Linked DNA regions of Oryzias latipes. The protein of the gene in region 1 interacts with the protein of each later gene in a biochemical or structural test. Links are inferred from orthologs where the notes say so. Each region holds a gene or a part of one and is shown in the gene's direction. Other genes may lie near its edges.

The links.
Region 2: the proteins of prkn (region 1) and abl1 form a complex in vitro, tested with the Homo sapiens proteins (2 studies listed by BioGRID, with this or other methods). The link is inferred for Oryzias latipes from reciprocal best matches to the Homo sapiens genes PRKN and ABL1.
Region 3: the proteins of prkn (region 1) and ataxin-3 form a complex in vitro, tested with the Homo sapiens proteins (4 studies listed by BioGRID and IntAct, with this or other methods). The link is inferred for Oryzias latipes from reciprocal best matches to the Homo sapiens genes PRKN and ATXN3.
Region 4: the proteins of prkn (region 1) and ube2z form a complex in vitro, tested with the Homo sapiens proteins (2 studies listed by BioGRID). The link is inferred for Oryzias latipes from reciprocal best matches to the Homo sapiens genes PRKN and UBE2Z.

What each region holds. Positions count from the first base shown.
Region 1 is NC_019873.2:12,960,432-12,964,617, forward strand, and holds the start of prkn (E3 ubiquitin-protein ligase parkin), read left to right. Parts: upstream 1-1,386; 5' UTR 1,387-1,882; coding exon 1,883-1,901; intron 1,902-4,186. UniProt on the Homo sapiens protein: Functions within a multiprotein E3 ubiquitin ligase complex, catalyzing the covalent attachment of ubiquitin moieties onto substrate proteins. Substrates include SYT11 and VDAC1.
Region 2 is NC_019870.2:12,824,770-12,829,025, reverse strand, and holds the start of abl1 (tyrosine-protein kinase ABL1), read left to right. Parts: upstream 1-1,456; 5' UTR 1,457-2,003; intron 2,004-2,726; 5' UTR 2,727-2,957; coding exon 2,958-3,084; intron 3,085-4,256. Other genes in the region: exosc2 (exosome complex component RRP4), read left to right, coding at 197-277. UniProt on the Homo sapiens protein: Non-receptor tyrosine-protein kinase that plays a role in many key processes linked to cell growth and survival such as cytoskeleton remodeling in response to extracellular stimuli, cell motility and adhesion, receptor endocytosis, autophagy, DNA damage response and apoptosis.
Region 3 is NC_019880.2:12,489,184-12,493,428, reverse strand, and holds the start of ataxin-3, read left to right. Parts: upstream 1-1,445; 5' UTR 1,446-1,489; coding exon 1,490-1,534; intron 1,535-2,003; coding exon 2,004-2,168; intron 2,169-2,245; coding exon 2,246-2,290; intron 2,291-2,374; coding exon 2,375-2,460; intron 2,461-2,547; coding exon 2,548-2,614; intron 2,615-2,689; coding exon 2,690-2,777; intron 2,778-2,850; coding exon 2,851-2,980; intron 2,981-3,054; coding exon 3,055-3,212; intron 3,213-3,303; coding exon 3,304-3,460; intron 3,461-3,600; coding exon 3,601-3,656; intron 3,657-3,802; coding exon 3,803-3,849; 3' UTR 3,850-4,245. Other genes in the region: E3 ubiquitin-protein ligase UBR1, read right to left, coding at 1,295-1,339. UniProt on the Homo sapiens protein: Deubiquitinating enzyme involved in protein homeostasis maintenance, transcription, cytoskeleton regulation, myogenesis and degradation of misfolded chaperone substrates.
Region 4 is NC_019866.2:24,086,811-24,091,060, reverse strand, and holds the start of ube2z (ubiquitin-conjugating enzyme E2 Z), read left to right. Parts: upstream 1-1,450; 5' UTR 1,451-1,877; coding exon 1,878-2,326; intron 2,327-3,377; coding exon 3,378-3,450; intron 3,451-4,250. UniProt on the Homo sapiens protein: Catalyzes the covalent attachment of ubiquitin to other proteins. Specific substrate for UBA6, not charged with ubiquitin by UBE1. May be involved in apoptosis regulation.

The sequences.
Region 1 (4,186 bases):
CCCCTGCTCTGAACTGGATTGGACCGGTTTGAGGATAAGGCATAAGTATTGACTGGTTCCGGGGTGTTGTGGAACCAATTCTCGAAAAAAGTTGAAACTCAGAAATGTTCTGGACCCGTTCTGGTTGTCCAGGTCTCAGGAACTGAAAATGGTTTCTTCCTCTTTGGTGTAAATAGCAGCAGGATATCCTAAAATGGTCATCAGGTGGGGATGCCGCATACGGTCACACCTGTATGGTCAGAACTGACACTTAGCTTTGCGTATGGAGTAATGTAATTAGATTCAAACATACACAATTGCCCTCCCCTTTTACCTCCCTTTCACCTGTATGGCGGCACCTGCCGTTTCCCAAAGGCATCATGGGAAATGAAGCTGGATCATCAAACCAGTTTGCCGCTGTGAAACACGATTGGATCGATCATCTGTGGTTTTCATCCACAAAACTGGTCCTTTAAACGACGAGCAGGTCCAAAACTGCATCGACACCGGACCCGTGAGCAGTTATCCAACTTTTGATCCATTTAGTTGATTGATGGTCAGAAGAACTTTCTGTCCCTGTTGGCAGTTTTCCCTACCTCGCTCCAGTGGATTGGGCTGATTAGGCCAGCCAGGCTGCTGATGCTGTGTTTTGATTGGCTGACGGTGTTCTTTGTTATCTGGCTGGCCAGTCAATCTTGGTTACTATAACAACAGTTTAATCATCAGCAGGCAGAAATGGGTGTTCTATTCTTCAAAATAAAAGCTTCTAGCAGAAATCCACGCTGGAGTCCGAGGGATGTGTCCCGGCGCTCCTCAGAGAAAACTATCTTGTCGGGTCCTAAGACGTCTGTTGGTAAGGTGGAATGTTCTGATGTTCCAGAAACAAAGTTGTCATGACAGCATTGGCTCCTCCTCACATATAAAGGTGTTCTTCGTGTTCTCCAGCTCCCGCCACGGTGTATGGAGCATGCTGATGAACTGGGACAGATGTTTGGTCAGTTCAAGCCTCTGGACTCCACGTTCATTTGGAGCAGCTCTCACCAAAATAAAAGCTTTTCCTGTGCCCGCCCAGGAACAGTTATTGAAAAAGAGTTGGCTTGGAGTTAATTTAATGGTGACATATTTATTTTGGTCTCAATGCCTATGACCCCCCCCTTTCACCAAGAGACAAAAACACTCAGTCCCTCCCACCATGTTCCAGTTTTGTTTCTGACACCTCTCCTGTCTACAGTTTAGACCAGTGTTGTGTTGGTTTGTTGCAGTGGGGGGGTGATGGTGGTTTTCATTGTATCGTGTTTGCCAATAGAATAAAGCTGTTGACATGTTTGTCTCGTCTTTGGAATAAACTTCTATCCAGGCTGTTTTTACTTCCTGCCTCCAGCAGGAGGAGCACACATGGAAGCACGGAGCCACAGGGAATTTTTGGGGATACCATCAATTGTAGATCCAGTCAGCTTTAAATTTAGGCAGAACATAAAGGTTAATCCAAAGTCAAACCACAGCTATAGAGCACATGGGAGACAATCTGCATACATACACCCTTTAAATAAGCCAATATTTCAAAATAATCGAGTGCAAGCTGACTTTATCTGTATCCTGTAGAAGGTTCCGGCTGAGGAGCGCGCGCCAGGATCTGCTGTCACTGAGGACACATGGATAAGTCATCCAACCTTTCCGATCAAAGATCGACTGTAGTGGATATTTAGTACCAGCTGCTATTTTCTAGATGTTTCAAAAACAACCACTGAATGGCTGTTGAGTTTATTCATCGTCAGAGTTTGAATTTTAATCGTGTTTTTTGTTAAGTACATACACTTCCGGTGTTGTTTACGTCACACTGTACAGCGGACCGACGCCGGAAACATAGGAGAAAATGTACTACAGCTCCCAGAATGCTTAGCGAATGAGAAGGCTGATGATCGGTGAGTTCCGAACCGGGTCCCCAGTTCCAAACCGGGATATCTTCGACTGACCAATCGCGCTGATCTTATCTGGTCTGTCCGCGTTCCCGTCAGTTAGATCGGTCCCGGGCCAACATTAAGCGCGGGTTTAAGATGGGGTCGGTTGGGTTGACGCCGGGACCTTGCACCGGCGTTAAACTGTAAACATACAGATACACAACATGAATGTGTTGAAGCTGCTTAGTTATTTATCATGGTTGATTTCCCAGAATTTTGTTAACAAAACAAGCGGACATGTTTTGTTTGTTGGCTTAACCTTATGTGACCGTCTACTTCTTCCCAAATAAATCCGCTTCAGCGTGACACTTCTGTAATTTATGTACATTTCCAAGTTGGCACAATACCACAAACACCACAAGTAATGCACAAAAATAGCAGTAAAAATAATAAAGGAATACAGTTTGTTTACAGACTTTTACAAATTCGTGTTGTCTTATAATACTGCTCTGACTGTCTCATTAAAATAACATGATCCTGACAGTAAAAACACAGCTCTGGATTTCCATTTTGCCATTAAACCTTTATTTAAGCCGTCTTTCTTAATCCACAAGTTTTTGTTTAACAAGTCTGTCTCTAATCTAATATTCATTTCTAAACTCCCAGAGAAAACTGCTGCAGATCAACTCTGTGAGCGTTTGAACAGAATAATTTGTGATGAGTTTTAGTCAGAATTTCCCATATCATAGCTCTGCTGAAGGTAACCATGACCTCATGGCTGCCTGTACTTGTGTCTGTGCATGTTCTTTTAGGCCTCAGTGCTGTTTGTTTGACATACTTGATTAGAACGTTTTGTTGCAGCTAATAGAATATGGCATTGTCAAAATGCTTCCAACACTAGTATGAAGCACAGAAAACATTTCCATTGGTCATTTTTGTCATGAGATGAACTTGAATTTCTGAAACATTTTCTACATACACAATATAACAATTTCTTTCAATTATTGCTGACAAAACTGCCTACATTTGTGATATTTAGCACTTCTGCTTTGCTGAGATGATCCATCTCACCTCACTGGTGTGCCATATCAAGATGCTGTTTAGACAGCATGATTATTGCACAAAAGACTGGCCTCAAAAAGAGGCCAGTCTGAAATGTGCCGTTTTGCTTTGTTGGGGGTCTGGGGACTCAGAAAGCCGGTCAGTATCTGGTTTGACCAACATTTGCGGCATGCAGTGCAACCCATCTTCTCTGCACAGAGTTCATCAGATTGTCAGGTGGCATGTATACTTTCAAGAGAATCTGAGACCAGCCACTCAGACAGCTGCTGAAACAATTGGTTCGCAAAACCCCAAAAAATCTCCACAGAAACCATCTCAGGTAAGCTCATCTGCATGCTTGTTGTCCTCATCGATGCTAAAGCCCGACTCCAGTTTGTTGTCATAACCGACTTGAGAGGGCAAATGCTCACATGACACATGGAGAAGTGCTCTCTTCACGAATAAATCCTGACTCATTCTCTTTACTGGACATGTCAGACAGAACAGAGGTGCATTTGATTGACAGCATTTTGAATGCACAGAGACCCGGTGGGCCGTTGTATCCCATACATCCAACAACATCACCCCATGTTGCAGCATGATATTGCACGGCCCTGTGTTGCAAGGATCTGAACACAATTCTTGGAAGCTGGAAAAACATCCCAGTTCTTGCGTGGCCAGCATCGTCACCGGACATGTCACACATTGAGTATGTTTGGGATGCTCTGGATCAGCGGATACGACCGCGTGTTCCAGTTCCTGCAAACATCCAGCAACTTTACACAGCCATTGAAGAGGAGTGGGCCAACATTCCCTTAATCGCAAACCTTATCAGCTCTGTGTGAAGGAGATGCACTGCATGAGGTAAATGTTGGTCACACCAGATACTGACCGGCTTTCTGAGTCCCCAGACCCCCAATAAAGCAAAACGGCACATTTCAGACTGGCCTTTTATTGAGGCCAGTCTAAGGCACACTTGTGCAAAGATCATGCTGAGGAAAAAGCATCTTGATATGGCACACCTATGAGGTGGGAGGGATTATCTCAGGAGAAGTGCTCACTATCACAGATTTAGACGGATTTTATGGACAATATTTGAAAGAAATTGTTATTTTTGTGTTTGTAGGAAATGTTCAGATCTTTGAAATCAGCTTAAGACAAACGGGAGCAAAAACAAAACTGTTGCGTTTATATTTTTGTTCAGTGTAGTTTCAAAGATTTCAAGTCTTGGATGACTTCCAATTTTCTTTCACTAACTCAGAAAACAG
Region 2 (4,256 bases), on another chromosome or scaffold:
TTGCAGAATGGAACAGACATTATTTATTGAAATAAACAAATCAGATATAAATATATGTTTTTAATTTATTCTGAGAAATGGTAAATTTATGAGCAATTCGTGTATTTTGGTGAAATGCATGTAACTATAAATGTTTCTGGACTTTTACAAAACGATAACAACCTGTTTTAAAGATTTCCCTTTTCCCTGCCTGTAGGTCAAGGACATCTTAAAACCCGAGGTGATGGAAGAGATTGTCATGTTGACCCAACAGAAGCTGCTGGAACAGGAAGGATAAAAGGCTAATGCTAAAACCACATCCAACAACGGGGCCACCATCCACTTATCCAAAAATTAAGTTTAGTTGTCTTCTATGAATCAAAGTGAGGTGCTCAGAGATCACATTCTTTATTTGATATCAAACATTAATAATGCATATAACCTGAATGAAAATTAAAATGTTGTCCACATTTGTAAATGCTCGGTGTGACATTACATTGTGATGGTTTTGTATAAAATAAAATTTCAGTCATTTCTGTATAGTTCTCATCGTGGTCTGTATTGATAAAAAACAATGAGTACATTGAATCAATTAACCTATAAGAACCCATGGTGGACATAATTGTAACAAAATCATCAAAAGTGTGTTCTTTGGTCCACTTGGATTTTTGTATATTCAAAATAATTTTCGTTTGAAGGAAAATGGGTCTTCAGGGTTAATGTTAGATCTTAAAATAAATCTGATTATTTCACTCTTCATTAAATGTTAAATTAAATATTGTTAAATGTTTAGCAGCATTTTGGTGCTTCATGCTTCTACTAACTTAAATACTTTTTTTTCATAACAGTCTGAATCATTAGCTCTCAAGAAATGTTTTTTATTTTAAACAATAAAAAAATGAAATTCAATTTGCTACATAAAATATTTATTAGTTGGAACATGGCCTACATTTCCCTTTTTATGTACTAATTTTTGAAAATTCATTAATTGTTAGTTTTATATGCAGGATTTAATTTTTTTTCTCATAGTTGTTTGATAACTAAAAAAAATGTTCTACTCTAAGACAGGTTAATAAAAAGTGACTTTATTTATATAAAAGTGTGCAATCACCTTTGTTATTCCTGAATGTTTTTTCTAACCAACCTTGTATTCTTTTAAATGAAGAAAGCTAAAAAAAGAATTCGATTTATCCCTGCTGGGATGGCTTTTCCCCTTCTGTTTCCCTTCCTGCTCCTCCAGCAGAATCCAAACTCGTGCGCTTCCCTCATTTTTTTTCCAAACTTTATTGATCATAACATTAAATTTACAAAACATAACATCAAGGAATAAAATAGATCAGCATCAACAACTATTGTCATCATTCCAAACTTATTCAACCACAGCAAGTAACAAACGTAGCAGAAACATATCAAAAACGTGCGCTTCCCTCATGGTTTTTTTTTTTTTTTTTTGCGCTTCCCTCATGGTGCTAGCCCACGCTGAGCTCGTGACGTCACACGTAGCCCCACCCACATATTTCTGTAAACCACCTTACGTATGGAAGTATGGCGGTTCCAGCGACAGAACTGGAACTCGGCCAAAGTTTACTGCTCAGGTTTTCACGTGAAAGTGATGAATAAGCACGCAAGCATAGAGCTCGCTAGTAAAGGGCACGGCGGCTGGGAATTCGGGAGAAAATCTAGGAGACAGAGTCGTCTGGCCCTCAGAGTTCCCTCAACTTCGCCTACAAGTGGCTTTAGAGACGCGGGGGGAGACGCTCCACAAAACGGGAAGAGTGGACGCGGAAGTTTGAAACACACCAACAAGTGCTTTGATTTTTGGTTACAGAGTGTGAAACTGCGGTCACGGGACATGTTTTGGTGAGATAATGAAGTGGACTTGACTGCGGTTACCAGCAGAAACCAACCGTTGACTGTCCGGCGTGCATAGGGGTCTGGCGCTGCTTACCACCAGCAGAAGTTTGGTTAGCTTATGGCTATCGTCAACATTAGCTGGAGCTAACCAACAGTGTCAATGTTTTCATGTAAGTTTACCTCACATTTAAACACTTATCAACGTTTTATTTTTTAACTGTACAGTTTTATTAGAGTCAAAAACAAAGATGTCGTTGTCACAAAGTTGTTTATAGTTAATTAAACCACGTATGACACTAGTTTACATTATTGTGCTCGAAAGATTAAGACTAAGATAGTCGAGATAAACAACATAAGGTGTCGCTTTTCTTTAGTACTGATAAGCAAATGTATTTTCAGTATTTGTAGTTAGTTATGTGAAGCTGTAACTAAACCGAGACTAACCCAACACTATTATTTTGAGGCTGTGATTGACGTTAAACAATTTAGAAAAGTAGTTGTTCGAACCCTAAACCTAACAAACTTGAGGAAATACTTTCAATTTAACTCTCAACTTCTACAGAACAAGACATTTTTGAGCAGTTTTAACATTAAAAAGACACTTATTCTAAATTATAATTAATTTAATCTTTTGATCTGATTGGTCAGGCTCTAAAATTATTTTTTTAATCTAGATTATTATAAAATGCATTTCATGTTATTATTTAACATGTGGTCAGGTCTAATACTTTTTACAGAACAGAAATAGTCTTAAAACAACTCCCAAAATTGAAAGTTTGTTGGCGTATTGCTTAAAAGACATTTTTTTACAAGCTTATTTGTCATTTCTTTATTTAAAAAAAGTTTGATCAGATAACTTTGAATGCTGATTACTGTTGTTTACGTTTCTGCAGATTCCTGTTAGGTCCCTCATATGTCGTCTGAATGCATAAAAAAACTGAACCCTACTGGAGTAACACAGACTTGTGCAGGAGGCCTGCATCACCAATACTCCAGGAGAAGACAGTGTGAGCCCGGAAAGAGGCTCCTGTCTTCTCCAGATCCCGCCATTGCCGCTCAGCAAGCTTTCTAACCGACTCCGTCCGACTTGGATAGTCCCGGCTGCAGCCTGGCACCCTGCCCTTATGGGGCAGCAGCCGGGAAAGTTTGTCGGGGACCAAAGGAGACCCAGTCTTCCAGCCTTTATTAAGGGGGGAAAGAAGGACTTACCGCGCCATGTGAATCAGCCGATGAATGTTTTTGATTGGCACGGTAAGATCACAACCCCACTCATTTTTAAGGTAAAAATTCAGAGACAAAAAATACTGAAGGACAATCATTTGCTTTTTTCCACTTCCTATTGGCAATCACAAATTCTAGATATTAATGTCTGCATTCAATAGGCTCATGTTTTTTAATCAGTTTATATTTTAGAAGACTTTGTCTTGCGTGCACTAGCTTCAGCAAAATCTTTGGCAGAAAATTTAGGGGATTTGACATCTTTGTCATTGATTAAAAAGCTGGCAAAACAATCCATGCAACCTGAGCAGAAAATCAAATCTATGCAGCTTCAAAATCTGATCCAAAGGTATTTTACCAAACTTTTTAACCTTAAATTTACCTTTTTAAATGCAAATTCAATTGCAAATGCATTTTCCTGCAGATAAATTAACCTGGATGACAAGTTTGTGCTTAGTTTGGCCTTATATGATATAATTATTATTGGATTAATATTTCACAGATGTTTCAAAGTTCCCTGAGAAAATAAAAGCGTTTTCTCTCACATCAACTTCCATTACGGTGTGATCAATGATATGCCACTTTGAAAATGTTGTGCCTAAATCAAAAGTGTATAGGGATGTTTAAAACTCAGTCATAGATATGTAATTAAATATGAAGCTTACTTCAAAGCATTTTACAACATTATCCAATACAACCTATTGCTGAATATAACATAAAAACCTTTGTTCTTAAGCTAAAAGCTTGCTTGTCAGTAAAATGTTGACTTAAAACCTTATTTAAACACTTTTTCTTGTGATTTTTAAAATGAAAACATTTGTGCTTGTGATTAGGATTTACAATCATCATTTTTTTATGATCTGAAAAAGAGTTTACAACTGTGCTCCAAATGTACCGGATGCAATCTGATTAAAAATTGCAAATTATTCATTAATGTGGAGGACTAAAGCCCCTTTGGATTGATTTTGAAATTAAAAAAAAAAGCTTGATAGTTAGAGTGGGAAGGGAAAGAGGAAGAAGATGGAATGAACAAATTCCATTAGGAAAAAAAAACAGGGATTTTGTGGGCTTTTGGCCACAAAAGCAGAGCAAAATTAAATGCAATTTAAACCATTTCTGTCATTAGTATTTTGAAGGAGTATGAAAGCTATTTTAGCGTGCGATCATGCTCAATGATACCATCTCTGTTTTCTTATGTTATGTCC
Region 3 (4,245 bases), on another chromosome or scaffold:
ATTATGTTTCTTATAGATATAATCCAACCAGATCAATCTGTCCGAGGCAAATTGATAATTGCATCGACCTTTACTATTATAAAATTGTTTCAAAATGAATCGATTAGAGCTGATATTAGTGAATACCATCTGGATTGAGGCACGGTAAGTTTATTTCACAACAACATAAATATGAATCGGTGTCATCACAGAGGACAACACACATGTGATGGCTGCAAAAAAGGATCAATCCATAATTACAGTCCAATGTGTGGAAACACTTTTTACAAAGACATGTGACCATAAAGTGTGGTAGAATGTTCTAATAATGTTCTGTTTAGATTATTTTGTTGTGGGCTGAACTTTAGGAAACTAAAATGTCAATGGATTTGCCATTAATCCCTGTTCACTTGTTTGCTTGTACACATATTTAATTCACACTTTATTATTTATTTAATTTACACATTCTTGCAGGAGAATCCTTCACCTGCTCTACAGTACCCAGGTATTTATCACCGAGTCACACACTGGTTGATTTTTTGGCTAAAATGTCCTGAATCGATTTTCAGTCTATAAATCGTATCGTTCAAAATGAACCAATATCACCTATGAATCATATCAGCAACTAAAAAATATAATGATATGAATCAAATCATGGTTAAAATTTAACGTTACACCCCTACTTTCTAGTCTTTAGTGCCTTGAACTACAGACAACATATGATCATGTGTATATAGAAAAGCTAGAACATTGTTACTGAATTCTCCAAATCTGCTTTCCTTTTAGGATATAATAAACTTTATAATAAAAGTCCAATGATAAGTTAGTGTGAAGGAAGATTAGCTCAACAAATCGGGATGTAAATAGTTGGCAGGATCATTGTGAAAATTTAAACGATAAAATTATGGTTCGTAATAAATGTTCAGTTTCACATTCATTTTTCGAAAGATACAACTTTTTTTCACTAAATTCTTCAAAAAAACAGGACTGATGCTCAGTGTTTAAAACTCGTAAAACGGGGTTTTGGACAAAACTAAGTACTAAAATATCAGATTGACCTACACATCTGCAAACAGATCGCGTTTCTGACGAAGATTCAAATCGCTGATGCTAAACAATACCGAAAAATAAACCTGTTTTGTAGCATCTCTAAGCTAGTAAAGCGGTTAGCCGTTTCCAGCTTCTGCCTGCTAGCTTTAGGACCGTCACTGCGCGTTGAGCCCGTTTTCTGTGTAGCATTTTATAACCCCACGCGTACGTGTCAAATATCCGAATCTCGGTAATAACTGTCAGTTTTTAATTTGCAACGCCATACCTTACTGAGCTCCAGTCCGTCAAGGTGTTTCTTACTCTCTGCCATATTTCATTTGCCGAAAAAGGAGGGGGGTTTCCTGTGTGACCAATATCCTTTCGGTTGTTGGAACGGAGCGAGGTTGTACTCCAAAATGATCCATAGAGGGCGCTAATAGAGATTGGTTCCCATCTTTACAGGAGTAGGGGTCAAAGTTGAATGTTTGACAGAAATCTAAACATGGATTCCATATTTCATGAAAAAGTAGGTTTAAACAATTTACTTGTGACATTAAACTGAACGCCTTTACTCGTGTGTAGTCGGAGAGAGTAAAGACACTTAGCATTTATTTAGAGTTTGTGTTTAGCCGGTGCTAGCTTCAATCTAATGTTATTTTGGCTTTATTCAGACTGCTAATGCTAACTCACTTGCTAACCAGGTGTTGTTAAGTTTCTTTAAAAGCTAATAGAATGAAGTTAGAAAACGAGTTTGCGGTATTTATTGTACACTTCGACTCCACCAATAATTATTAAAGAAAAAGGATACTAAAGTTGTATGTTGCTCGTTGTTTAGATGTTTGAAACATTATTTATTTTTTATTTATTTTTTTGTAGTTGCTTTAGCTTTTTGTATAATCTATCTCCAAGGTTTTGTAAGTTTTTGCACTCCATTTTGAAAAAGTGGAGACCTTTTTTTTTCTCAATACGTTTACGCAGTTATTCTTTGTTTTCAGCAAGAGGGTTCCTTATGTGCCCAGCACTGCCTCAACAACCTTTTGCAGGGGGAGTATTTTACCCCTGTAGACCTGTCCTCAATTGCTCATCAGCTTGACGAAGAGGAGAGAATGAGAATGGCAGAAGGAGGTATGGGTAGTGAAGAGTACAGGACCTTCTTACAGGTAAGTGGGGACAGGTAACAGATGTTTTCTGCAGTGGTACATGTATTTAAACAACTGTTTTAATAATAACTTTATAGCAGCCATCTGGAAACATGGACGACAGCGGATTCTTTTCAATACAAGTATGTTTATGTGCTTTGTCATATGATCATTAGCAATCAACTTTACAAGATTGTCTTATCACTCCTTATGACTGATTTTTATAGGTAATTAGCAATGCTCTCCGAGTGTGGGGATTGGAGTTAATTCTCTTCAATAGCCGGGAGTACCAGAGCTTGATGATAAATCCAATGTAAAGTTGTATTTTCAAGACTTCCTTGTATAGCAAGTCGATCCCACACCCACATTTAAATCCTGACTTGATGTCTTTGCCTTTAAGAAACGAGAAGGCCTTCATTTGCAATTATAAGGAGCATTGGTTCACCATACGCAAGCTTGGACAACAGGTATGTCGATTTTTATTTTTTTACTTTTCAATACGTGTGTTGATGCTTAATTTACTTATTTAATTATTATTACAGTGGTTTAACTTGAATTCACTCTTGACTGGACCAGAGCTGATATCAGACACATATTTAGCTCTTTTCCTGGCACAGCTACAACAAGAAGGTATTGTAAAGCCGACTTGTTTACACTATTGCACCTTTTGGTACACAAATACAAAAATAATGTATTTCTGCAGGATATTCCATATTTGTGATCCAAGGGAATCTTCCCGAATGTGAAGCAGAGCAGATTCTCGGAATAATGCGGGTTCAACAACAGCAACGGCCCAGGCTAATTGGAGAGGATGAGGCTCAGACAAGTTCAGGGTAGGTTTGTGGAAAATGGTCCTCGCTTGGATTACATTAGGTCTTGTTTGGACATAATACATGTCTGTTTTTAGAAGCAGATCCGTTGCTCGGGGGCAAATGGACGTTGTATCAGATGAGGCTGTGGATGACGATGAAGAACTAAAGAGAGCTCTGGCACTCAGCAGACAGGAAATGGATGTGGAAGATGAAGAAGCTGACCTTCGCAGGGCCATTCAGCTCAGCATGCAAGGTGTGCCATTTCAAAGCTCCAGGCTGATTTGAAAATATTTTATTATATTGGAATTTTTTAACCCTTTTTTTGACGTTTTTCCTTTAACTAGGATCAGGCATGAGTAACAAATCTTCAGAGTCTGATGTGGGAAATGTGAAATCCGAAAAACGGACTGTACAGAGTTCTACATGTGGAGATAAACCAGGCCAGAATGAGACACTTACTGCTGAGGAGCTGAGGAAGAGGAGACAAGCTTATTTTGATCGGTAGGATTTGATCTGTAAAACTTGAATTTAACAAAAAAAAAAACTTTCAGTAATATGTGTACACATGTTCAAAGGTCTTTTTTTAGTGAGCAGAAAGGAGAAATGTGCCTTATGAACCAGACTTTCGTATTATCTTTCAGGCAAGCACAACCAAGCATTCCACGACAGTTAGAAAGTCATGCAACCAGTGACTCTGGTGAGTAAACTCTATTTAAAATTCAAAACACCCTATATGTATAACACCCATTATATACAGTTTTTTGCATATCAGAATGAAAATGTAGATATTATTTTCATGTCAGAACAATAACCCAAGTATCCATTTTTTGCCCCTAACACCAGAAAAATCCAACTCTATGGAGGACCAACAAGAAAAAGACACCAAATAAAGTTGTGAAAGCTTTGCTGCTTTTGTCTACCAACGCTCTGAACTTGAAACCCTGTACAGGGGTTGGCTTCTCTCCATTCTCTAACCTTTTGCAAACGCAAACATACTGCAGCCAGAAGGCCGACACATGGTTTCCTTCGCTGGGTTTGCTGATGGGCAAGGGAAAGGCAGCACTTGGTCAAATCAGACCTCAGTGTGGTACAGAGATGGGGGAAAAGGGTGATCGCTGGACTTAAAAATGACTCATAATGTAGTTATTCCAAGTTTTCAATGGCCTTTTTTTATTTTACCATAGAGCCTTCTATTTCTTTACATTCTGGTTTTTGTTGTCTTAATTTTTTTTGAAAACATAAAGAGAAAATGAATGAAAAATGGGTTAACTTTTATGAAGTTGGAT
Region 4 (4,250 bases), on another chromosome or scaffold:
CCGATTCTGATCAGACAAGATTCTTTTGAAGTTACAAAATCCAGTGCATTACCAAAAACAAGTTAAAGGTATCAGAGCCACAATAGTTAGTCTGACAATAGAATAACAGCTGTTTATTTCTCTACAGAAGTGTACTGGATTTTGGCTTTCTTGGAGGCAGCGATGAATTCCTGTTTGGAATGCCAAAGTGGGAGGAGTCACTGTCTAGTTGTCATATACAGTCAATGCTCTGCATGCAAATTAATTCATCTCATTCACAGACGCCTTGCAGGTGAAGTATGGGGTCACCCTGGACGGGCCGCCAGTCTGTCGCAGGGCCACAATCACACACCCATGCACATTCACACCTAGGGGCAATTTAGAGTGACCAATAAACCTATGAAGCATGTTATTGGATGGTGGGAGGAAGCCCTTGTATGTACAGGGAAAACATGCAAACTGCACACAGAAATTGATGTTCTGTTTCAGGTCCCCCCAAGCCGGTTCTTGAACCGGAGGACTTGGTACGTGGCTGCAGTCCAAGCTGAGACCTAGAACAAATTCAGAGCCCAAACAAACCGAGACTAACCGAGTTTAGGTTCACATTTGTATCTCAGACCCTCTGATTATTTTAAACGTCAGTCAGCATGCTTAAAGTCCTCCATATTTTAGCAATAATAACTTTTTTTTTCCTTTTTTGACACAAAGGATCCAGATCCTTCAGGAATTGTTGATCTTATCAATGTTTGTTTTTTTTACTTCATTTGATTAAAGATATTAACCTCTTATCTGAGACATATCGTTTTTGCCTTTCTTTTTCAACTGTTTCTTACTATTTGGTTATCATAATGAATGTGTTTTTTAAGGAAAAACCAATTCAGTATTTACAGTTTGAACAGCTGTTGATCTAGGAAACATCACTTTGTGTTCTCAACAATTTTAAGCTTCGTTTGACTTTTTATTTTAATTTGGCAATAGTCTAGGTGTACTACAACTTAGTGAGGCAGCATACTTGAAGTTTACTTCTCTATATTGAAAACCTAAAATGTTTCAATTTAGTCTGAGGAAGGGTTTAGTTGGTACACAGTTACACTAAACGTGCATCATTCATAGTAGACTTTCTATACTTCAGGTAAACTTAATAAAATAAACTGCAAGTGCAATACTCTTTGATATTCTGATCACATTCCCACAGGTCGGATCACCCCTAGTAATGCTCCCAGGTTACATCTGGTCATTTTTTAGTTTTATTTTTTGTTTTCTGCTGATAATTTAGGTAATAAATTATGATATTTTTTTAATATTAATTCTCTTGAACATGTCTAATGAGTAAGTTGTGCCTTTGGGGCCTCTAGGTCCCTAGGAGTTTATTTTACATTTAATTAACATGTATTTTTGCCACCCGGAAGTGTGTGGTTCATCTTAAAGTGAAAAAGAACAGCCGAAGGTTTATTTTGAAAATCCGACCGGAAGTCGACCGTTGAGGCCATGACTTGACAGGACAGAAAGCCCCAAAGTTGCGGTTTGTTCCTGGAGTTGAGTCGCGGAAAACGGCCGAAAGTCACCCGTTTTCTTCTGCGGTTTTCTTAACGCGACAACTAGCGGAGGTTTGACGGATTCGGTGACCGATAGGAGGGGGTCGGAGGAGCCTTTTGGAAGTCTAAATAGCCCAAGGAGGCCCGGGAAATGTTGGGCGAAGCTAACGCGGAATAGCCATCATCATCATGTCGTGGGAAGAAGCGTCTCGTTCTCCGGCATCGCCTGCGCTGCGTTCGGTCGCTCTCTGATCCCGCCCGGCCCGGAACCGCAGGCGTAACTCCAGGCTCGACTGTCAATGCCGGTGAAGTGCGGCTCGACACATTAGTGAGCAGCGACAGATTGACGGAAGCTTGCTAGCCATGGCGGACAGCGTCGGAGAGGAGTCCGGCGTCGGTTCGCTCGGCTTAGGCGTTACCGGACAGGGCGGCGGAGCCTCGCCGCTCCCCGCTTTGGCCAACTCGCTGCCGGGGGGACTTTTCGCCGCGAGCGTGGGTCACCCCAGCACCTCCTCGGCCTCCTTCCCGCCCGCCGCGGTGGCGCAGAGTGGCCTTACGGCTTTGGTGGCCCCCGTGGCCGCAGTCACCCCCACCGCTGCCGGCTTCGGGGAAACCTTCACCCCCGCCTCCTCGCCGCCCGTCGTGGCCGTGTCTCCCATCGCGCACGCGTCCTCCCCGGTGCCGGGGGTGGGGTTGGGCGTAGCAGGAGGGGGCCTGCTGTCCCAGATCCACGCCACTTCCTGGGACCCGTCTCTAAGCACAGACTGGGACAACGAGAAGGCGTCGCAGCAGTGCATTCTGAGGATAAAGAGGTAAGCGAGAGCCCCCACACACCTGCTGAGACCCCCCCAATCCTCTTGACCTCACCTGACCTCACCACCTTTTCAACTAGGTCCCTCTGAAAAGAGTTATTTAGTTTTAGCCACGGGTCCCACGCCTCAGCCACCGAGAAAGTGAAAGTAAAAGTTTCCCATCTTGAAAAGTCACAGGAAGTTCTGAACTTTTTGAGTTTCCCTTCCAAAACTCAGAGAAACTTGATTTACTCTCTTATCAGACATTTCCTGAAGAGAGGGCCTGCAGGTCATCCCCGTCCCATCACAGCAGCAAGTTCAGAAGAAAAAATATATATCTCATCTGCCCAAGTGATTAGAACTCAAGTTTAGCCTAACATGGTGCAGGTGATGTGATGTTCAGTCTCCCTGATGCCTCCCCCTGCAGACAAATGGATCCATGAGCGTCTTTGTTTTTCCTCGTCCGGACTGGCATTGGATCTAAACTGTACGGCTGCATATATCTGATATCGCTCGCCGTTTTTGTGGTCACGTCAGCTTTCTGTTTACCCTGTCCTGCTAGCTTACAGCTCCTCACAACCTAAAACACGATTGGTGCAAAAAGCCACGAGCAATATTGGAGTTTTGTATATTTTTGAGGAAAACAAAGACGTACACGGATCTTGTCGTCTACATGGAGGCAAGTTTCTTACAGCGCTTAAAATAATGTTACTTAGTTTTGACAGGCAGATACTGTGATGCAGGTTATTCTGCAGTTTGTCACCGATTTGTTTTGCGTAGCTTTATTTTTTCCGGCCTTCTTTGATGGACAGAAACTCACAAATGTTGAAAAGCTGGTGAAGAAACCCATTTCCTGGTTGAATCTTCCCTCGTGGTCGTCAAACATGGGTCCTGGACAGATGCAGTTCACCTCCGACTCTGCGAAGAACGTCTCACGCAGACGCATGCAGACACGTTTTGCAGACGCATCCCACGGTGTCTGCGCATGCAGACGTGTTTCCCGCCTCTCTGCTTTGCTCAGGCGCTCTTATGTTTTGGGGGGGGTTCTTCACATTGTTCTTTCTGTCTGCAGGGATATCATGTCCATCTACAAGGAACCTCCTCCCGGCATGTTTGTGGTGCCTGATCCTCAAGATATGACCAAGGTAAAGAGCAGAACCGGCAGCAGCGGACTTCAGTGGAACCGGGACGTTTCGCTTCTGTTTCTGGTGCATTTCATGAAACATCTAAAGGGTTTTCAAATGGGGTGGGCGTGTCATAAGTAGAGCAGTCGACATCTGATTTCAGGTTTGGTTCCCATTCTGCTCACCCATGTTGAAGTGTCCTTGGGTTTGACACCGAACCCCTAGTTAGTGCCTCGGGTGACAGCTCTGCTGCTATTGGTGTGTAATTGTGCGTTTGTGTGTGTATGAAGAGGTGAGTAAATGTTCTTTACAGACACGTAAAGAAAAAGAAGCGGCTGGATGAGTTTTTGTCTTCCCGCGGTTCCATCATGGCCTCCGTGTTTCTCGGGCTTCGTTTCCTCGCATGTCGTCGTTTCCTGTTGACGTTCGCAGGGCTCCAGACTAACTTTTTTCACTAGGAGCACTGTGGCCCTCAACTGAAAATTTTAAGGGCACAACCAGAAAATTTAAGGGCGCATACCGTAAATCAACATGCAAACCAAATCTATTAATTTCCACTGTATTACTGATAAATACTTAAATAATAGATGCAGAAATTACAATGTGCTGTTTCAAATTCGGTGTCACATTTTATTCTGCCCTTTTGAAGATGCAACAACAGGTAAACTGACAGCAGCATCGCTGTCATGACAGTACAAATAAGTAAACAAAATACCATACATTTAAAAATTAAAAAAAGTTTTTAGTAACAAGTGATTACCATAGTAACCTGTCGGTCATTTCACAGTTACAAACAATACTTAAATGTATGTAAACATTAG